Linked DNA regions of Sus scrofa. The protein of the gene in region 3 binds, or shares a complex with, the protein of the main gene of each other region. Links are inferred from orthologs where the notes say so. Each region holds a gene or a part of one and is shown on either strand. Other genes may lie near its edges.

Evidence for each region.
Region 1: TIMM29 (region 3) and TIMM10B share a complex: the UniProt entries of both Homo sapiens proteins name them as parts of the TIM22 complex. The link is inferred for Sus scrofa from reciprocal best matches to the Homo sapiens genes TIMM29 and TIMM10B.
Region 2: the proteins of TIMM29 (region 3) and AGK are in contact, whole or in part, in a cryo-EM structure (PDB 7CGP), measured with the Homo sapiens proteins. The link is inferred for Sus scrofa from reciprocal best matches to the Homo sapiens genes TIMM29 and AGK. Residues at the interface, in NP_612367.1 of Homo sapiens: Tyr145, Gln146, Cys149, Arg150, Tyr151, Leu152, Gln153, Arg155; in NP_060708.1 of Homo sapiens: His33, Asn36, Arg39, Arg40, Cys43, Gln44, Gln47, Asn51, Lys82, Pro86, His89, Leu90.
Region 4: TIMM29 (region 3) and TIMM22 share a complex: the UniProt entries of both Homo sapiens proteins name them as parts of the TIM22 complex. The link is inferred for Sus scrofa from reciprocal best matches to the Homo sapiens genes TIMM29 and TIMM22.

Annotation. Positions count from the first base shown.
Region 1 is NC_010451.4:3,247,883-3,251,379, reverse strand, and holds TIMM10B (mitochondrial import inner membrane translocase subunit Tim10 B), read left to right. Parts: upstream 1-1,404; 5' UTR 1,405-1,511; coding exon 1,512-1,550; intron 1,551-1,751; coding exon 1,752-1,847; intron 1,848-2,043; coding exon 2,044-2,220; 3' UTR 2,221-2,906; downstream 2,907-3,497. Other genes in the region: ARFIP2 (arfaptin-2), read right to left, coding at 1-30, 286-384. UniProt on the Homo sapiens protein: Component of the TIM22 complex, a complex that mediates the import and insertion of multi-pass transmembrane proteins into the mitochondrial inner membrane.
Region 2 is NC_010460.4:8,263,142-8,267,349, reverse strand, and holds the end of AGK (acylglycerol kinase, mitochondrial), read left to right. Parts: intron 1-2,144; coding exon 2,145-2,282; 3' UTR 2,283-3,589; downstream 3,590-4,208. UniProt on the Homo sapiens protein: Lipid kinase that can phosphorylate both monoacylglycerol and diacylglycerol to form lysophosphatidic acid (LPA) and phosphatidic acid (PA), respectively. Does not phosphorylate sphingosine. Phosphorylates ceramide.
Region 3 is NC_010444.4:69,648,219-69,652,488, forward strand, and holds TIMM29 (mitochondrial import inner membrane translocase subunit Tim29), read left to right. Parts: upstream 1-1,451; 5' UTR 1,452-1,499; coding exon 1,500-1,593; intron 1,594-1,670; coding exon 1,671-2,359; 3' UTR 2,360-4,151; downstream 4,152-4,270. Other genes in the region: protein YIPF2, read right to left, coding at 350-430, 513-667, 1,047-1,077. UniProt on the Homo sapiens protein: Component of the TIM22 complex, a complex that mediates the import and insertion of multi-pass transmembrane proteins into the mitochondrial inner membrane.
Region 4 is NC_010454.4:46,900,399-46,904,655, reverse strand, and holds the start of TIMM22 (mitochondrial import inner membrane translocase subunit Tim22), read left to right. Parts: upstream 1-1,445; 5' UTR 1,446-1,702; coding exon 1,703-1,940; exon of another isoform or gene 1,941-1,950; intron 1,951-4,257. UniProt on the Homo sapiens protein: Essential core component of the TIM22 complex, a complex that mediates the import and insertion of multi-pass transmembrane proteins into the mitochondrial inner membrane. In the TIM22 complex, it constitutes the voltage-activated and signal-gated channel.

The DNA.
Region 1 (3,497 bases), on a different chromosome or scaffold from region 3:
GGGTCCTGACACCATCACCTGCTGGAGGTCCTATAGGCCAGAGAAGAGGGGGGCTTCAGGAACATATGGGCAGCTGAAGCATTTTGGGGGTGAAAACAAGCTTGGATTGAAGCATCATAGAGAGAGCACACAAGGGAAGTCTGCACAGAATCAGAACAAAGATTGGTAAAAAGACTGAAGGAAATCAGGTGAGTTGGGGGAAGGCTACTGGAAGAAGGAGAGAGCTCAGGGTTTAAGAGTTGGGATTCCTCAACTGAAACAATGTGAAGAATCAAACAGAAGCACCTGCTCCAGCCCATCATCCTCAGGAAGCTGCCCCGCGTCACCATTCCCGTGGATGGGGATCTCCATTGTGGCTGCCTTCCCTAGGATCCCGTCCGTCATGGCGAGCGAAGGGACTGGAGTCAAAGTCTCCACCCCAGCGCCCTGCAAAGCCCAACACAGACAGTTCTGGAAACGGGCCAGTTCTCCGAAGAGGAAGGTCTCCCCTGCCCTTGCAGAGGCCGTCCCGGGGCTTCAGTGTGGTGGGGTCTGCCCACCACTCTTCCCTCGGGGCTTTGTCTTTCTCCCTTCCAAGGTGCAAAGTTTTACACACAGGCACCCAGGCCTCAGGTGTGCCTGACCAGAGGTCATGTTCTCATGACCCCCCCACCCCCACCCCCCCAGCAGTCCAGGGATCATTCATGCATTCAGTCCTTCCACAGACATTTAATGAGTGCCTACTACATGCCACGCACTATTTGAGGCAATGGAGAGAAAGCCTGTGCTCTCAAGCAGCTTATCCCCACGCAGGTATTCCTCCTCATCAGGAGACAATCCCTTTCCCAGCGCTCAGGTGCCTATCCCCGTTCAGGTATGTTCGCCATTGTTTGGCCTTTCACACTCCTCTAATGTCTCCTCCTCTTTCCTGCAGGTGGTCTCCCCCTCCTCCATCCCATGCACCCCCTCTTCCTGCCCCCACCCCCGCCCCAGGCCTTAGTTGAATCAGTTGGTGTAAGTTCCCGACCCCGGGGAAAAGTCCCTTTGCCCCAGGACATAGGGAGGTGATCCCTTCCAAAGTCAGTTAGGTCTCCCCAGGTGTGTGAGTCTCCGCCCTCCCCCCATACACCTGGGCGTCAGGTGTGTCCTCATCCTTTCCCAGGGCTCAGAAGCATCTTGCCCTCAGGTCAGGTTCGTGCGTTCACCTTGCCCTCGCCCATGCACGTCCCTCTCACCTCGGGCCGGGCCGCTCTTCCCCTCAGGGCGCCAGGCCCGGGCCGCGCGGGGATCTCGGGATCCAGTTCCCGTCGCGATCCTAGCAGCAGGTCAGGGACTCGGCGGAAGTGACGTCCTCTCCCGGGCAGAAGAAGCCGGCCACGTAGCCGATTATGAGGGCGGAAGTGACGTCGCGGGGAGGTGGGCGGGCGCTCCTTGAGCCAACCCCTCTGCCCCTGGGGAGCCATTGAGGTCACTTCCGGGGCGTTCCCTAGAAGCTGTAACGGAAGTGACGTAGGTTGTGCGCCGGCGGCGTGATGGAACAGCAACAGCAGCAGCAGCAGCAGCTGAGAAACGTGAGTGGGAGCTAAGTCGCTTAAGGGCCCTGCATCCAGCTAGCATCCCTGTTCGCATGGCGGAAACCCCAGAGAGCCAGGCATCCAAGGGCTGGGAACCACGGGCCGTGGTACACGGTCCTGGGAAAGCGCCGGCAGCGCGGCCTTGAGTTGAGACGTGGCCCCCTCTTCGCTGAGTTCCTTGTCCCCCTTCCTCCCCAGTTGCGGGACTTCCTGTTGGTCTACAATCGGATGACGGAACTCTGCTTCCAGCGCTGCGTGCCCAGCCTGCATCACCGAGCTCTGGATGCCGAGGAGGTTAGGTGGGGGAACTGAGTAGGGAAGTGCTCCTCGAGCCTCAGAGCTAACCGTGCACTGCTTCCCTCTCCCGTCAATTCCCCTACGTCCGGCCCTGGCTTCCCACGACCTCCGCCCTGAGGCTGGGGATGGGAAGGAGGGAAACGGACCTGACTGGACACCTTTGGCTTCTACTTCCACCCTGTCTTCCTTCCAGGAGGCCTGTCTGCACAGCTGTGCCGGGAAGCTGATCCATTCCAACCACCGCCTCATGGCCGCTTACGTGCAGCTCATGCCTGCCCTGGTACAGCGCCGCATCGCTGACTACGAGGCTGCCTCAGCTGTGCCAGGTGTTGCTGCTGAACAGCCAGAAGCCTCGCCATCTGGCAGCTAGCTGTCCTCAACGCTGAGAAGGGAGGCACTGGATGGACCCTCACGTTGAAGGAGCAGTGGACCTTGGGCAAGATGGAGCCTGTATGTAGAGAATGAGGAGTTGCCTGAGAGCTAGGTACTGTTGCTCCTTTTCCTGGAGCTAATAAACCTGCTGTAATCTGTGCGGTTGATATTCTGGGCAGGGAGAAGTTGCCTTCTGTGTGTGGAAGGAAAACCTCAGCATTCCCAGGCACCTGGTTAAAGGAAGGTCTGTGGGTACAGCTTTAAAATTGGCAACAAGACGCTGGTTCGTGCCCAGACGGCAGAGAAAATGGGAACTCTGTCCTTAAATCTGTCTGACTTAAATGGTTCGCTTAGAGATATTAAGGACCATGGATTAAGAAACCACAGGGCTTTTAGGCACTACCTCTTCGAAAGTCAGTAGCCCCAGACAGATGAAACCTATAGGACTTCTGGGTGTTCTAGAACGTTAACCACTCCCCCAAGTTGTTACTTTCTTAATACTCCCAGAAATTGAGCAGTAAATCCTTTAAACCGAGGAGGTCTGTGTGCTCGTCTTCAGGAGCAGTCAGGGGAAAACTTGGGGAGCCATGTTCTGCACTATAGTCAGACTCAAGGGAGAGAAAACCACAGAAGTAGAGGGTGGTGGCTAAGGGGACAAAAAAAAAAAAAAAAAAAAAAAAAAAACAGAAGAAAGGAAAAGCTTTTGGATGTTACGCTCTTGTCTCACTGCTCGCCTGTGATCTCCTAATTCCAGCCCTGCCCCCTACTCTGCATTGTCCCAGCTGTGCCTATCCCATGGTTTCTAATTCCAGCCTCTCCATTCTTTCCTCATTATTGCCTCCCTTGTGGAGTTTACCTCTGTATTCAGCAGTCTCAGTGGCATGTCACTCCATCCCTGAATTTTTTTGCTGCCCTTGTGTCCTTTTTGTATCATTCCACCTGTTTTACTTATTATTATTTATTTTTTGGCCATGCCATGGCATGCAGAAGTTCCCAGGCCAGGGATCAAACTGAAGCCACAGCAGTGACAATGCCGAGTTCTTAACTGCTCGGCCACCAGGGAACTCCCAGTCCAGCTGTTTTAACTTTTCTGGTCCTCCATTCACACAGCTAGAGGAAAACACAGCTGTGTAGTGAATGCCACTAAATATTCCCAGTCCCAGCTGCAACCAAGCTCTACCAACAAATAGCATTTGGAGGGTTCCTGGTCTGTTTGCTCTTCTCATCACCATGGCAGCTGTTTACACCTTCACTGCTCTCCCTAACCCCCCACCT
Region 2 (4,208 bases), on a different chromosome or scaffold from region 3:
CTGCTTTCCCCGTCTGTCTGCCTTTCTGCTTCTCCCCATCCTTCCTCTCCAGTGACGCACCCTTTGTGAGGTGCCTTGCACGTGCCAAGTGATGGGCCAGGCTCTGGTTTACATTAAGGGAGACTCCCTTAGATTTAGAGCCGGGCTCCTGAAGACCTCAGTGTCGTCCAGCCAAGGGCCTGTGAAGTGAGCCTTAGGTCTCCCGAATGTTGACTGTCTGAATGTCAATTCTGCAAGTGGTTACTGCAACAACACAGAGAACGCTCCAGTTAGGCCATGTTAATAGTGGGGTCTAGCTTCATATTTTTCATAAAGGATCTGGAAGCAGTTTTCAGGATGGCATTAAATTTTTCTGTACTGTGAAAGGCCAAACTTAGTAACCCGTAAGTGGAGAAAAAGTTACTACAGGTGGCCTCTGAAGACTTGTACCTTTTCTGCCACGGTATTCAACAAGGATCATGGGTAAAACAGAAGGTGTCCCCACAGTGGGTGGCACCATAGTTTCAACACAGCAAATGTTGAATTAAATGCACGAATTACAGAGGGTTTCACAGACTCTTATATTTTAAAAATTGATTTTATTGAAGTATAATTGATTTACAGTGTTTTCATTTCTGCTGTACAGCAGTGATTCAGTTATACATGTATATGTATATATATGTATTATATATTCTTTTTCATATTCTTTTCTATTACAGTTTATCATGGGATATTAAATATAATTCCCTATGCTATACAGAAGGACCTTGAGGTTTATTCAATTTATAGTAGTTTGCATCTGCTAATCCCAAACACCCAGTCCATCCCTCCCCCCACCCCATCCCTTTCAGCAACAAGTCTTTTTTCTGTCTGTGAATCTGCTTCTGTTATGTAGATACCATGATTGTGTTACATTTTAGATTCTACATATAAGTGATAGCATATGGTATTTGTCTTTCTTATTTCACTTAGTAGGAAAATCTTTAGTTCCATCCAGGTTGCTGCAAATGATATTTCATTCGTTTTTATGGCTGAGTAGTATTCCATTGTACATTTGTACCACGTTAACTTCATCCATTTATCTGTTGGTGGACATTAGGGTTGATTCCATGTCTTTCCTATTGTAAACAGCATTGCCATGAACACTGGGGTGCACATCTTTTTAGATTATAGTTTTGTCCATATATATGTGCCCAGTAGTGTGATTGCTGGATCATATGGTAACCCTTATTTTTAGTTGAGGAAACTCCATGCTGTTTTCCATAGTGGCAACACCAATTTATATTCCCATCAACAGTGTAGGAGGGTTCCCTTTTCTCCATACCCTCTCCAGTATTTATTATTTGTAGACTTTTTGATGATGGCCATTCTGACTGGTGTGAGGTGGTACCTCATTGTAGTTTTGATTTGCATTTCGCTGATAATTAGCAATGTTGAGCATCTTTTCATGTGCCTATTGGCCATCTCTATGTCTTCTTTGAAGAAATGTCTATTTAGGTCTTCTACCCACTTTTTGATTGTTTTTTTGTTATTGAGTTATATGAGCTGTTTGAACATTTTGGAAATTAAGCCCTTGTCACATCATTTGCAAATATTTTCTTCCAGTCCGTAGGGTGTCTTTTCATTTATGGTTTTCTTTGCTGTGCAAAGCTGTGCATTTGATTATGTCCCATTTGTTTACTTTTGCTCTTATTTCTGTAGCCTTGGGAGGATGACATAGGAAAATACTGGTACAATTTATGTTTACCATCTAATATTAATGTTGTTATACCTTAGGTATAAAGCTAAGCAAGTCCTAAAGAAGAACTATGAACATAATCAATTGGATAGCATGGCTTCCTTGCTTTTCATTTGAGAAAGATTAGGGCTGAGAAGGACATACATGTATGTTCTATGGAATTTCTTAGAAGTGTGACAGGACTTATTTAAGTGTCGCAAGTCCCAAAATCCTCTGGGAGGAGGTAGAGGCTGGTGAAACCTTTTTCATGAGCAGTGTCATTGGGCTGTTTCCAGAACCAGCATGGTGTCGACACAGGCACTGAATATTCCTTTAAAAGCCCATTTTGCTGAAGCCCCCGAGTCTGACGCTTTCCACAGTATCCTGCTGTAGTGGTGACGGGGTTCCCGCCGACACGGGCAGGTCCTCAACAGTCTCTTCTCCCCAGGGAACAGGGGGCTTCTTCAGCATCGACAGTGAGGAGTACGAAGCGATGCCCGTGGAGGTGAAGCTGCTCCCCAGGAAGCTGCGGTTCTTCTGTGACCCGCGGAGGAGGGCAGAGATGCTGCAGAGCTGGGCTGAGTGAGCAGATGGGCAACTGCCCTTTAGGCCACCCTGGGACCAAAGGGGAGCAGAGCCTCCGAATCCCCGTCCCCGCCGCCTTGTCAGAGGATCCCAAGGGCCCGTCTGCGGCAAGTACCCCCTGCCCTCCTCTCTCTGTGCGTTGCAGCTTCCCAGCCAGCGTCCCGGCCGCGCGGGCTTTGACTGGTGCCCCCTGGTCCCTCCTGCGTAGTGCCCCCCGTCAGGCGGGCGCCGAGACATCCCCACCCTCCGTGGATGGAAAAGGGCCGGACCTTGTTCTCTCCCCACCGCGGACGGCAGGCTCCGAGGCTGTGTCCTCTCCTGTCTGTGGCCGTCCCGGGAAGGGCCCGCCTTCCCGCCGCTGCCTTGTCCTGTTTCCAGGCTCCTCCATGGGTGCTGCTGCTCCATGAGCTCCGGTTCTCATTTAGCGGGTTCCAGTTCTCTCCTCGGTCTAAGAAACATATGTGGGGTGTCCGTCTTCAGCCATGGCTGATACTGTAAAATATTAGGGTTTCCCCCCCCTAAAGTCGTGCTTCTGAAGTGTTGGTTTGCATGAGAACCACCTGGGGCACTTGTCGAAGATTTACTCAATTGGGGACCACCCCAAACCTAGTCACTCAATCTGAGGATGGAGCCCCGGAATCTGCCTTTTTAAAAAGGCTGCCACCCTCCCCGGGTGGTTCTGGTTCAGGAAGTCCTGAGGCCGAAAGGGACACACAGTCCTGCCAAGCAGTGGTCCACAGGTCTCCTGCTCCTCTGCTTCCTCAGAGTGTTTTGGAAAACCTTGTAGCCCCTCCCACGTTAACATCCCCAATTTCTCATGGGAAGTTTGAGTTGCCAAAGTATATACTTTCTGGTGTCATGTAAATATTGATATTTTAAAATAAAACTGTTACATCACTCTTTTAAACATATTCAGTATAATTGAAATACATAGCAATTTGACATTCATCATCCATTTACAAAAATAAATTGTTTAGTAGTTGGAAATATCCATTTTCCTCATATGCGTATTTCCTACCGCTTTCAGCAAAGTATGCTATCATGTTTTTATGCTGGAAAATTTTTTCACTCAACCTATTTTCTTGCCAACAAAAGCTATAAATTGAAATGACTTTTTTTAGTTCAAGTGTTAACTCAGTACAGAATAAATGTTATCAATTATTGAAATACAACTGATTATAAATTTTTAATAATTAAGAATTAACATTAGAATGCTCTTTATCCTCATGAGTTCATTTAGCCAAAAGCACATGTTACTTACAGCTGAGACAAGGCTCAACATTATAGATGTTTAAAATTCTGTTCTAACATTGCCATGCAGTTCTTTGAATTGTTTGAGTCGCCTCGAAAAATCACAGTGATGTAGCAACTTCACAGCTGGATTCGACCCCTCCGTTAGTTCGTTGAAAGTGGAGAACTAGAAGCCGTCTGCTTCCCTAGGGACTTGTCAGCTGGGCATTGTAATTGGTGCCCCGAGGTTCTTCTACTCGAGAGGGAAGCACACCACGGTAAGGGGGGTGAGACGTAAGGCTTTCTCTTTGTGCGGAGGAAGGAAAATTGCACAAAGGGGAAGAGGGGTGGGAGAACGGGCAGGAGGCTCATGCTCAGGCAGGTCAGTTTTAGGACCACACACGCACCCGCACCCACGAACCCTTCGGAGAGTGAGGACCAATGCTTGAAGGGGTCTAAGGCAGCTATGAAAAGCCCATAACATAATGCTTACCTGTTTGCCTCTGTGTTCTTCAGAGTGGAGTTAAAAGCTGTGCTTTTGCAAAACAAATAACAAAACAAAGCAAAAAGGAGGCAGGTCCAGGAGTTCCTGTTGTCAGGCTCGTTACCACTGAGCCACTAGTATCCACGAGGATGCAGGTTGATCCCTGGCCTCGCTCCGTGGGTTAAGGATCGAATGTTGCTGTGAGCTGTGGTA
Region 3 (4,270 bases):
TCTCTCATTACTGCTCCTCTACCTATGCTGTTTCCTGGGCCTGGAACGTACTTAAGCTTCCTTCCACTCTGCCTGGCTAAATCTACCTTCTCCTTTAAGTGTCAGCAAATTCCTCATCTCTCCCAAGGGGTCCTTCCCTAACCCACCATATCACGTGTGTTCCCTGTCACACATCAAAATCCTTGCAGTCCACACAGTTACATCTACCAGCCTGGGTAGGACTCTTGTTCTCTCATATGAGTATTGCTAGCACTTGCTCAGGGCCTGGTGCGCAGGAAATGCTCAGTGACTAGTGGCTGAACCCCAAGTGTGACTCTGAGCCCCATTCCACCAACTCCCCGGGTCTGACCTGTGAAGTGTCCACGTCAAAGAATGTCTGATAGTAGCCAAAGGTCCAGAAACCAGGCTGCTGCTTCTCCTCCTGTAGGAGCTGAACAGTGTGGGCTTTCAGTGAGGGGTGAAGGGCAGCAGGGACTAGACAAAGGCAGGGCACAGAGACTTAGGGGACCCACCGCTGCCTTGTCACTCTCCTCTGCATCATCCTCAGTTCCATAGCTGCCCCCTGAGCCCATGGCCACAGCCACATGCCCCTGGGGGGTCAACTGATCACTTCTGGTGGTGGTCGCTTCTGGGGTCTGGGCCAGCAAATTAGTGGCTTCCTCGAACTCTGCTGAGAAGGAATATGGGACACAGGTGTATTTGAAGGGGTCAAGACAATTTGGTTCTGCCCACTGCTCATCTGGGGGCCAAGACTAACTGTGACCACCTCGGTGTTCCCCCCAACCCAGGGTACAGCTTCCTCAATTTTGGGGAGTGGGAAAGAGGTGTGTCCCCTTCCCCTCACTCCTAACACTGGACCGCAATTGAGGGCTGGTATGGGGTAGAGGCTCAGGTTTGAGGTCTGAGTTTAGGGCTGGAGCGAGGTTCCTGCCTGGGTCAGGTTTCACAGCTGACTGGGATTCCGGTTAGATGTGAGCTGGGACCTGGATGGGAGGTTCTGGCCAGTGGAGGGAGTAGGAGTGGGGTCAGACCGCGGCGGCACTCACCGTGGAAGGCCAGCTCGTCCGCCGCTGCCATGATCACTCAGGGGCGTCGCCGCATCCCGCTCTGAGGAGAGAGGCCAATCAGGCCCACCCCAACCCCACTCAGCGCCACTCCTTGAAGCCAACCCTCAGCCCCGAGCCCCGTTTGGCGGCTGACCGTACCGCAGGGGCGTGAACACAGCACTCCCGCCCCCCAGGTGCACCCCCGCCCACCTCACCTGAGGCCGCCTCAACTGGCGTGGCCGGTACTCTCTGCGCCTGCGCGACCCGCCTACCAGCCGGGGCAACCCCAGTCGGACCCGACAGCAACATCCGGCGTCGGTCCGTTTTCTATCGTCTTCCGATGGGAAACTACCTCCGGAAATGTTGACGCTTGCGCAGAAGATATTCACCGGATCTTTTTGTTTCGCATACCAGGCGTTTCTTTTCGGAGTAGGGACGCCCAGCCGGAAGAGGATGGCGGCCGCTGCACTGAAGAGGTTGTGGTCCCGAAGCCGTGGGGAGGCGGGGGACGCTGCGGCTGCAAAGCCTGGCGTGTGGGCGCGGTTGGGTGAGTAGAGGCGCTAGGCGGTGGGGGTGGGGGGCCGCAGCGGCCCGACCGCCCTCATCGCGCTTCTCTCCTCTCAGGAGCTTGGGCCCGCGCGCTGCTCCAGGACTACGCAGAGGCCTGCAGAGACGCGGCGGCGGCAGCGCGAGCCCGGCCCGGGCGTGCAGCCGTGTACGTGGGGCTGCTGGGCGGCGCGGCGGCCTGCTGCGCCCTGGCGCCGAGTGAGGCAGCCTTTGAGGAGGCGCTGCTGGATGCGTCGGGGACGCTCCTGCTGTTGGCGCCGGCCACACGCAACCGCGATTCTGAAGCATTTGTGCAGCGGCTGCTCTGGCTGCGGGGTCGCGGCCGCCTGCGCCACGTGAGCCTGGGCCTCTGCTCGCTTGTGTACGAGGCGCCGTTCGACGCCCAGGTCAGCCTCTACCAGGCCCGCTGCCGCTACCTGCAGCCCCGCTGGGCGGACTTCCCGGACCGGATCTTGGATGTGGGCTTCGTGGGCCGCTGGTGGGTGCTGGGGGCCCGGATGCGCGACTGCGACATCAACCACGACGAGTTCCTGCACCTGCCGGCACATCTACGCGTCGTGGAGCCCCACCAGCTGCACTCGGAAGCCAACGAGCGGCTCTTCGATGAGAAGTACAAGCCTGTAGTGCTCACCGACGATCAGGTGGATCAGGCGCTGTGGGAGGAGCAGGTCCTGCAGAAGGAGAAGAAAGACCAGCTCGCCCTGAGCCAAGCCGATCCCCTGGCGCCCTCGGAAGTCGCTAGATGAAACCCATTGCGGCCTGGGTCCTGACCGGATCCTGAGCCCAAGCAGACTGCCGATCAAGGATTGTGCCGTTGGTGAGAATCAGCCTCAGACGTAGAGCGATGGAAATAAATTGTGTGCAGTGATCTCTCCGTGGGTTTTCACAAAATTGAGGGCCTCCCTCTCACCTGTTCCTTGTGAGTTGACGCTAATTCAGAGCCTCCTTGGTCTTGGAGTTGGGAAGAGCAGAAGGACATGCCTTGTAACATTTATCACTGCCAGAGTTAGTGAGGAGCCTTAGATGGAAATAAGCCTTTGCACTGGGCTTAAAGATTCCTCCGACTGAGGTATCACAGTTGTTAGGTGACTCCCAAGCTCTCCTAAGAACTTTTAGATTTTCTTTTTTCTTTTTTTTGTTCTTTTAGGTCCGCACCTACGGCATATGGAGGTTGCCAGGCTAGGGGTCTAATCAGAGCTGTAGCCCCTGGCCTACACCATAGCCACAACAACGTGGGATCCAAGCCGCATCTGCGACCTACACCACAGCTCAGGGCAACATTGGATCCTTAACCCACTGAGAGAGGCCAGGGATGGAACCTGCAATCTCATGGTTCCTAGTCCGATTTTTTCACAATGATGGGAACTCCTAGATTTTCATTTTAAAATTTGAACTGAAATGTTTATCCTGTTTCCATGACTAAAATGTTTTTTTAAATTAATTTTTAAAAAATTTATAATTTCAGGAGTTCCCGTCGTGATGCAGTGGTTAACGAATCCGACTAGGAACCATGAGGTTGCGGGTTCGGTCCCTGCCCTTGCTCAGTGCGTTAACGATCCGGCGTTGCCGTGAGCTGTGGTGTAGGTTGCAGACGCGGCTGGGATCCCGCGTTGCTGTGGCTCTGGCGTAGGCCGGTGGCTACAGCTCCAATTAGACCCCTAGCCTGGGAACCTCCATATGCCACAGGGGCAGCCCAAGAAATAGCAAAAAGACAAAAAAAATTTTTATAGTTTCAGAGGAGACTGGAAAAATAGACATCCTGTGTATCTTCACCCAGCTTCCCCCCCCTCCCCCCCCCCCCCCGTCATAACTTATGTAATCATTACCAACCCAAGAAATTAACATTGGTATGATTATTTGGATTTTACGACAAAACTTTTTGCAAAAACAACCTCCCCTGACCCTATTTTTTTAGGGCTGCACCCACAGCAAATGGAAGTTTCAGAGTCTAGGGGTCACCTCAGCCACAGCAATGCAGGATCCAGTCAGCATCTGTGACCTATACTGCAACTTACGGCAACGCCGGATCCTTTAACCCACTGAGTGAGGCCAGGGATCGAACCCTCATTGTCCTGGATAATAGTTAGATTCTTAACCCACTGAGCCACAACAGAAACTCTAAAAACAACCTGTTTTTGGAAAGTTCCCATGTGGCACAGTGGATCTGGCATTGCCATAGCTGTGGCACATACTTTGGTGTGGATTTGATCCCTGGCTGGGGAACTTCCAGATTCCGCGGGTGTGGCCAAAAAGAACTCTCAAAACCAACCTGTTTTTACCATGTGTGTACTGATACTGATGTTAAATGACAAGGAGGGACAAAGCATTTTCTGATCTGGAAATCAACATGGAATCCTAGTTTCTGGTTATGTTTTACTTCAATAACCCTGAAAACACAGAATTCTATAGAAAGGACATGTTGGTATTCAGAGCTGGGTTATGATAATCATACTTTTAAAACTAAAATACTATAGGAATGAGACTACCTCTGTCACCTATGTGACCTATAGCTAGTTAATAAACCAAGACATGAAATAACTTTGTTGTGGCATTGTGTTTATCTTTTTTTCCCCAGTTTTTAAAGTTTTATTGAAGTATAGTTGATTACAATGTGATAATTTTTGCTGTACAACAAAATGATTCAGTTATACATATGC
Region 4 (4,257 bases), on a different chromosome or scaffold from region 3:
GGTCCCACGGCATTCCTCTCTGTGCTGACTTGGGTCTCAGCTCAACTCCGATGCTGACGCTTCATTTGGGGATTGATGATTGCTCTCTAACCAGCCGCACGGGTTAACCATTTAGATCGCTCCTTGTTCCCAAGGCCCTTGCCTGAGACCTGCCTATGGGGCTGTTCCAACTTCTCTCAGATCCAACTTTGGCTCTTAAGGCATGAATCAGAGTCCTGGGCCCCTCATTCATCTGAAAGGAAAGGGGGGGTGGCAGGGTGTGTTGAGTTTGAGGTGCCTATAGGAAATGACTGGTTTTCATGCTGCTGAGAAGGATTGAAGCTGGAGATAAAAATCTGGGAGCCATTGCTCTGTTAGAGGTGGTGGTAGAAGCCATGAGTGGGTGAACAGCTTCAGAGAGAGCAAGGTGCATGAGAAGAGGATAAAGGATGAGGCCCTGAGCATCCAACAGGAAAGGATCAGGCAGAGGTGCCTGCAAAGTCTGAGGAACTGAAGAGATTCTAGCAAAACCAGGACAGAGGCTCCACCGAAACTGCGAAGAAACTCCGAAGCAGGGAGGAATCGACAGTATCACATACAGCTGAGGAGTCAAGTGAAAGGCATCTGAATTAGTCTCAACAACTGGGAAGCACTGGAGACCTCAGGGCGAGCTTGTTCAGCGGTCTGGTGGGAGCAGAAGCAAGTGAACCACATGCCCTGCTTAGAGGCACAGAGAACTCTGGCGACCAAAGAGGTGTCTCAGTAGACTGGCTACTGCTCACCACCTTCTGCTTCCATTTACAGCTCTCTTAGCTGATACACCCAAACACTCCTAGTCTGGATCAATACAATATTTAGGGATCTATTTTAGTGCCATCGACACTACTGCAAAAGTTCTTCTGGATTCATATACGGTGCTATCTCACAGTTAACCTTCAGGTTCTGAGTCTGCAAGTTCGTAAGCAGTTTAACTGAATCAGCATAATGTAAATTTGGCTTTGCATGGCAACGCTAGTCCCACACCGCTCATTCCACTGACTCGTGGTTGGGGTAGCAGCCTCACTCCACTTCCTACCACTGTCCCGGATTTTTCTTAGCTTGCCTAGCTTCACTCATTTGTTCACTCATTTTTGGCCCCTTCTCTCTCCCCTCAATGGCTTAATTGCTGAATAAAACATTTATTTCATACATTTATGCTACGTCAATTTAGCAAGCACTCTAGCCCACTGCCATCCCACAACCCCCGCAAGCAATCAGTTGGCTCGCAGGGCAGAGATGAGGCTCGCGCGCCCCCTGCTGGCTCTCCTGCGCGCTGCACCCTCCCTCCCTTCCGCCTGTCAGGAGCTCCAGAAGAGGCAGAGACGCGCGTGTCCGCGCAAGGCTTCCTGGGAACTGTCTGGGGGTGTACCTATTAGAACTACAAATCCCAGTACGCACCGCGCTTCAGCCACGAAGAGAGACCTTTCTGGTGACTCTGACTCTTATTTATCATTGCCTTCGGGAATGTTGCACAAGCCTGATTCCGTGTTCACAGAAGGTTTTGAGAGAACATGATAGCACTTCTGCCGCGTGTGCACGAACAGGCTTTCGCGACTTCTTTGGACTCGCCCGGTGTGGCGAATCTGCTGTTGCGTCTCGGTGGCTGTGCGCGCAAGGGCCCACGGGAAGCTTGTGGAATCGCCTGTGGGAAGAAGGACGCCAGGTTTCTTGGGCAGCTACTGTCATGGCGGCGACGGCCCCCAGTGCAGGGGTCTCTGCGCCTGAGGCGGCGGCTTCCACGGAAGCCCCTCTGCAGTACAGCCTTCTTCTGCAGCACCTGGTGGGTGACAAGCGTCAGCCCCGGGTCCTGGAGCCTGGGACCCTGGGCGGGATCCCGAGTCCCGCCAAGAGTGAGGAGCAGAAGATGATCGAGAGGGCGATGGAAAGCTGCGCCTTCAAGGCGGCGCTGGCCTGCGTGGGAGGTGAGGCGAGGTGAGGGGGGCCCTTGGGAGGCCGAGGGCTTGGGCGGCAGCAGGGTGCCCTGCCAAGAAGAACACGCTCCTGAGAGGCAAGGAGTCCGTGGGCCTCGACCTTGACCCACCCCCGCCTGGTTCAGTGAACTTGAGCAGTGCGTCCTTAGACCCTCTAGGCTTCCGTCTCTGGAAATTGGATCAGAGAACCGGCCCTAGATCAGGACCTGGGGGAGTAAGATGGTTGACCTCATTCATTCGTTCACACATTTCTTTGTTCATTCTCTTTTAATTAATCACTTTTCAACAGATTGTCACTGAGTAGCTATCACGTGCCCGGTGATGGAGAGACAAGAGCCTTGTTCTTCTGAAGCTAACCTCTTAATATACATAGAAAGAAAAATGTTGAGAAGGAGCCTGGAGGAGGGCCCTGCAGGGCAGGACACAGCACTTGCAAAGGTCTGGCTTGTAGTGGCTCGAGATTAGAAAAACAGAAAGGCCATTATGACTAGACAGCAGGGAATGGGGGCAGGAGGTGGGAAGAAATCTGGACTTTTTTTTTTTTTTTTAACCTCTTGAGCATTTGAGAATGTAGGTGTCTCTCCTCTATGCAAAGAGGCTGACCACATTTGCAGATGAGTTGAAATCTAATTGAGAATGAAAGGCAATTAAGAAGTGAAGGTCATAATTCCCTGGTGGCTCAGAAGATTAAGGATCTGGCGTTGTCACTGCTGTGGTGCAGGTTTGAGCCCTGGCCCAGGAATTTCTGCATGCCACGGGTGCAGCCAAAAAAGAAGAGAGAAGCAGAGAGAGACACGAATGTAGCGAGAGTGCAAATATGATGTACGGTAGGAAGAGGAAAGATCTTTTTTGGTTGGGGAAGGCCTTGGAGGAGGTGAGACTGGAGATGTGTCTTGAAGGATGGAGAGTGTGGGTAGACAAGGAGGCGGAGAGATGTCATTTCATGCTGGGGGTGAAAGGAGTTCTTTGTGGCACAGCAGGAACCCAGCCGTTGTCATTGCTGCAGCTCAGGTGGCTGCTTTGGTGCAGGTTGGATCCCTGGCCCAGGAACTTCCACATGCTGTAGACGCAGCCCCCAAGAAAGAAACAAAACAAAACAAAACAAAAACGGGGGTTGAGTGGGGGATTTGGGCTTTTTGCCTGTAGTTTTAAGGGCAGCAATAGATGATTTTTTTTAGAGGGTAGCAGTGGTAGTGAGTATGATGACTGAGGGTGGAGTGTGGCCAGGGAACGTCTGTAGACAGGGAGACCCGAGAGGGAATTTGCTAGACTGAAGCTCCCTGAGCCATGGACTGGGTCTTTTTTCATCAATACCTGACCCTGATAAATCTTACATAGCTGTTAAAATGATGAATGAGTCTTTGTAGTGCCCCAAGGTGGAAGCCATAAAGTCCCGATGTGACTCAGCAGTCACGAACCCGATTGGTATCCATGAGAACATGGGTTCGATCCCTGGCCTTGCTCAGTGGGTTAAGGGCCTGGCGTTGCCGTGAGCCGTGGTGTAGGTCACAGACGCGGTTCAGATCTGGTGTGGCTGTGGCTGTGGTGTAGGCCAGTGGCTGTAGCTCTGATTCCACCCCTAGCCTGGGAACTTCCATCTGCTGCAGGTGCTGCCCTAAAAAGCAAAAATAAATAAATAAATGAAAAGAAAAAATGCCCTTGCATTTTGGGGCAGGAGTGACTAGGAAGAAGGAGCCATAAACAAGAACGTCTGGAGGGGCGGCGCCCGAGATTTCCTTGAGCGTTTACAGACGTCGAGGTGCTGAGAGGGCATCCACATGGAGATGCCCAGCAGGCTCCGGAAGGTCAGCTGTGCACAGCAGCGTAGGGGTAGCCATTCGCTTTGTGACTTGAGGAAAGTTACTTAACTTCCTGGAGCCTCAGCTTCTTCGGCTACAGAAAGGAGAGGATAATAAGATCTACCTCACCGGATTATTGTCAAGAATAAATACGACTGGCTGTAAAGTGTCAGGGTGACTGGCACGTGGTGTTTGCCAAATGACTATTACGAATGCACTGTTGTCAAGGGGCGATTTGCAAAGTTTTTACCTGAACTTGAGGGTGGGTGGTTTGCATGAAAAGTGTGGCAAGAGAAAGAGGGAAAGACACTAAATCTTGAGGAATGTTAGCAAATGAAAGGAGGAGGAGGAAATCCAAGAAGAGCAGACGAGAAGCTGTCAACAAGATCTGGATTTTGTGATGTGGAAACCAGGCAAGGGGAGAGTTTTTGAGGCGGGGGTGGGGGGTGGGATGGTTCCTTTCGCTGGCAGCCACCCAAAAGGTGCTATTTGAGCGTGACCCCACTGCA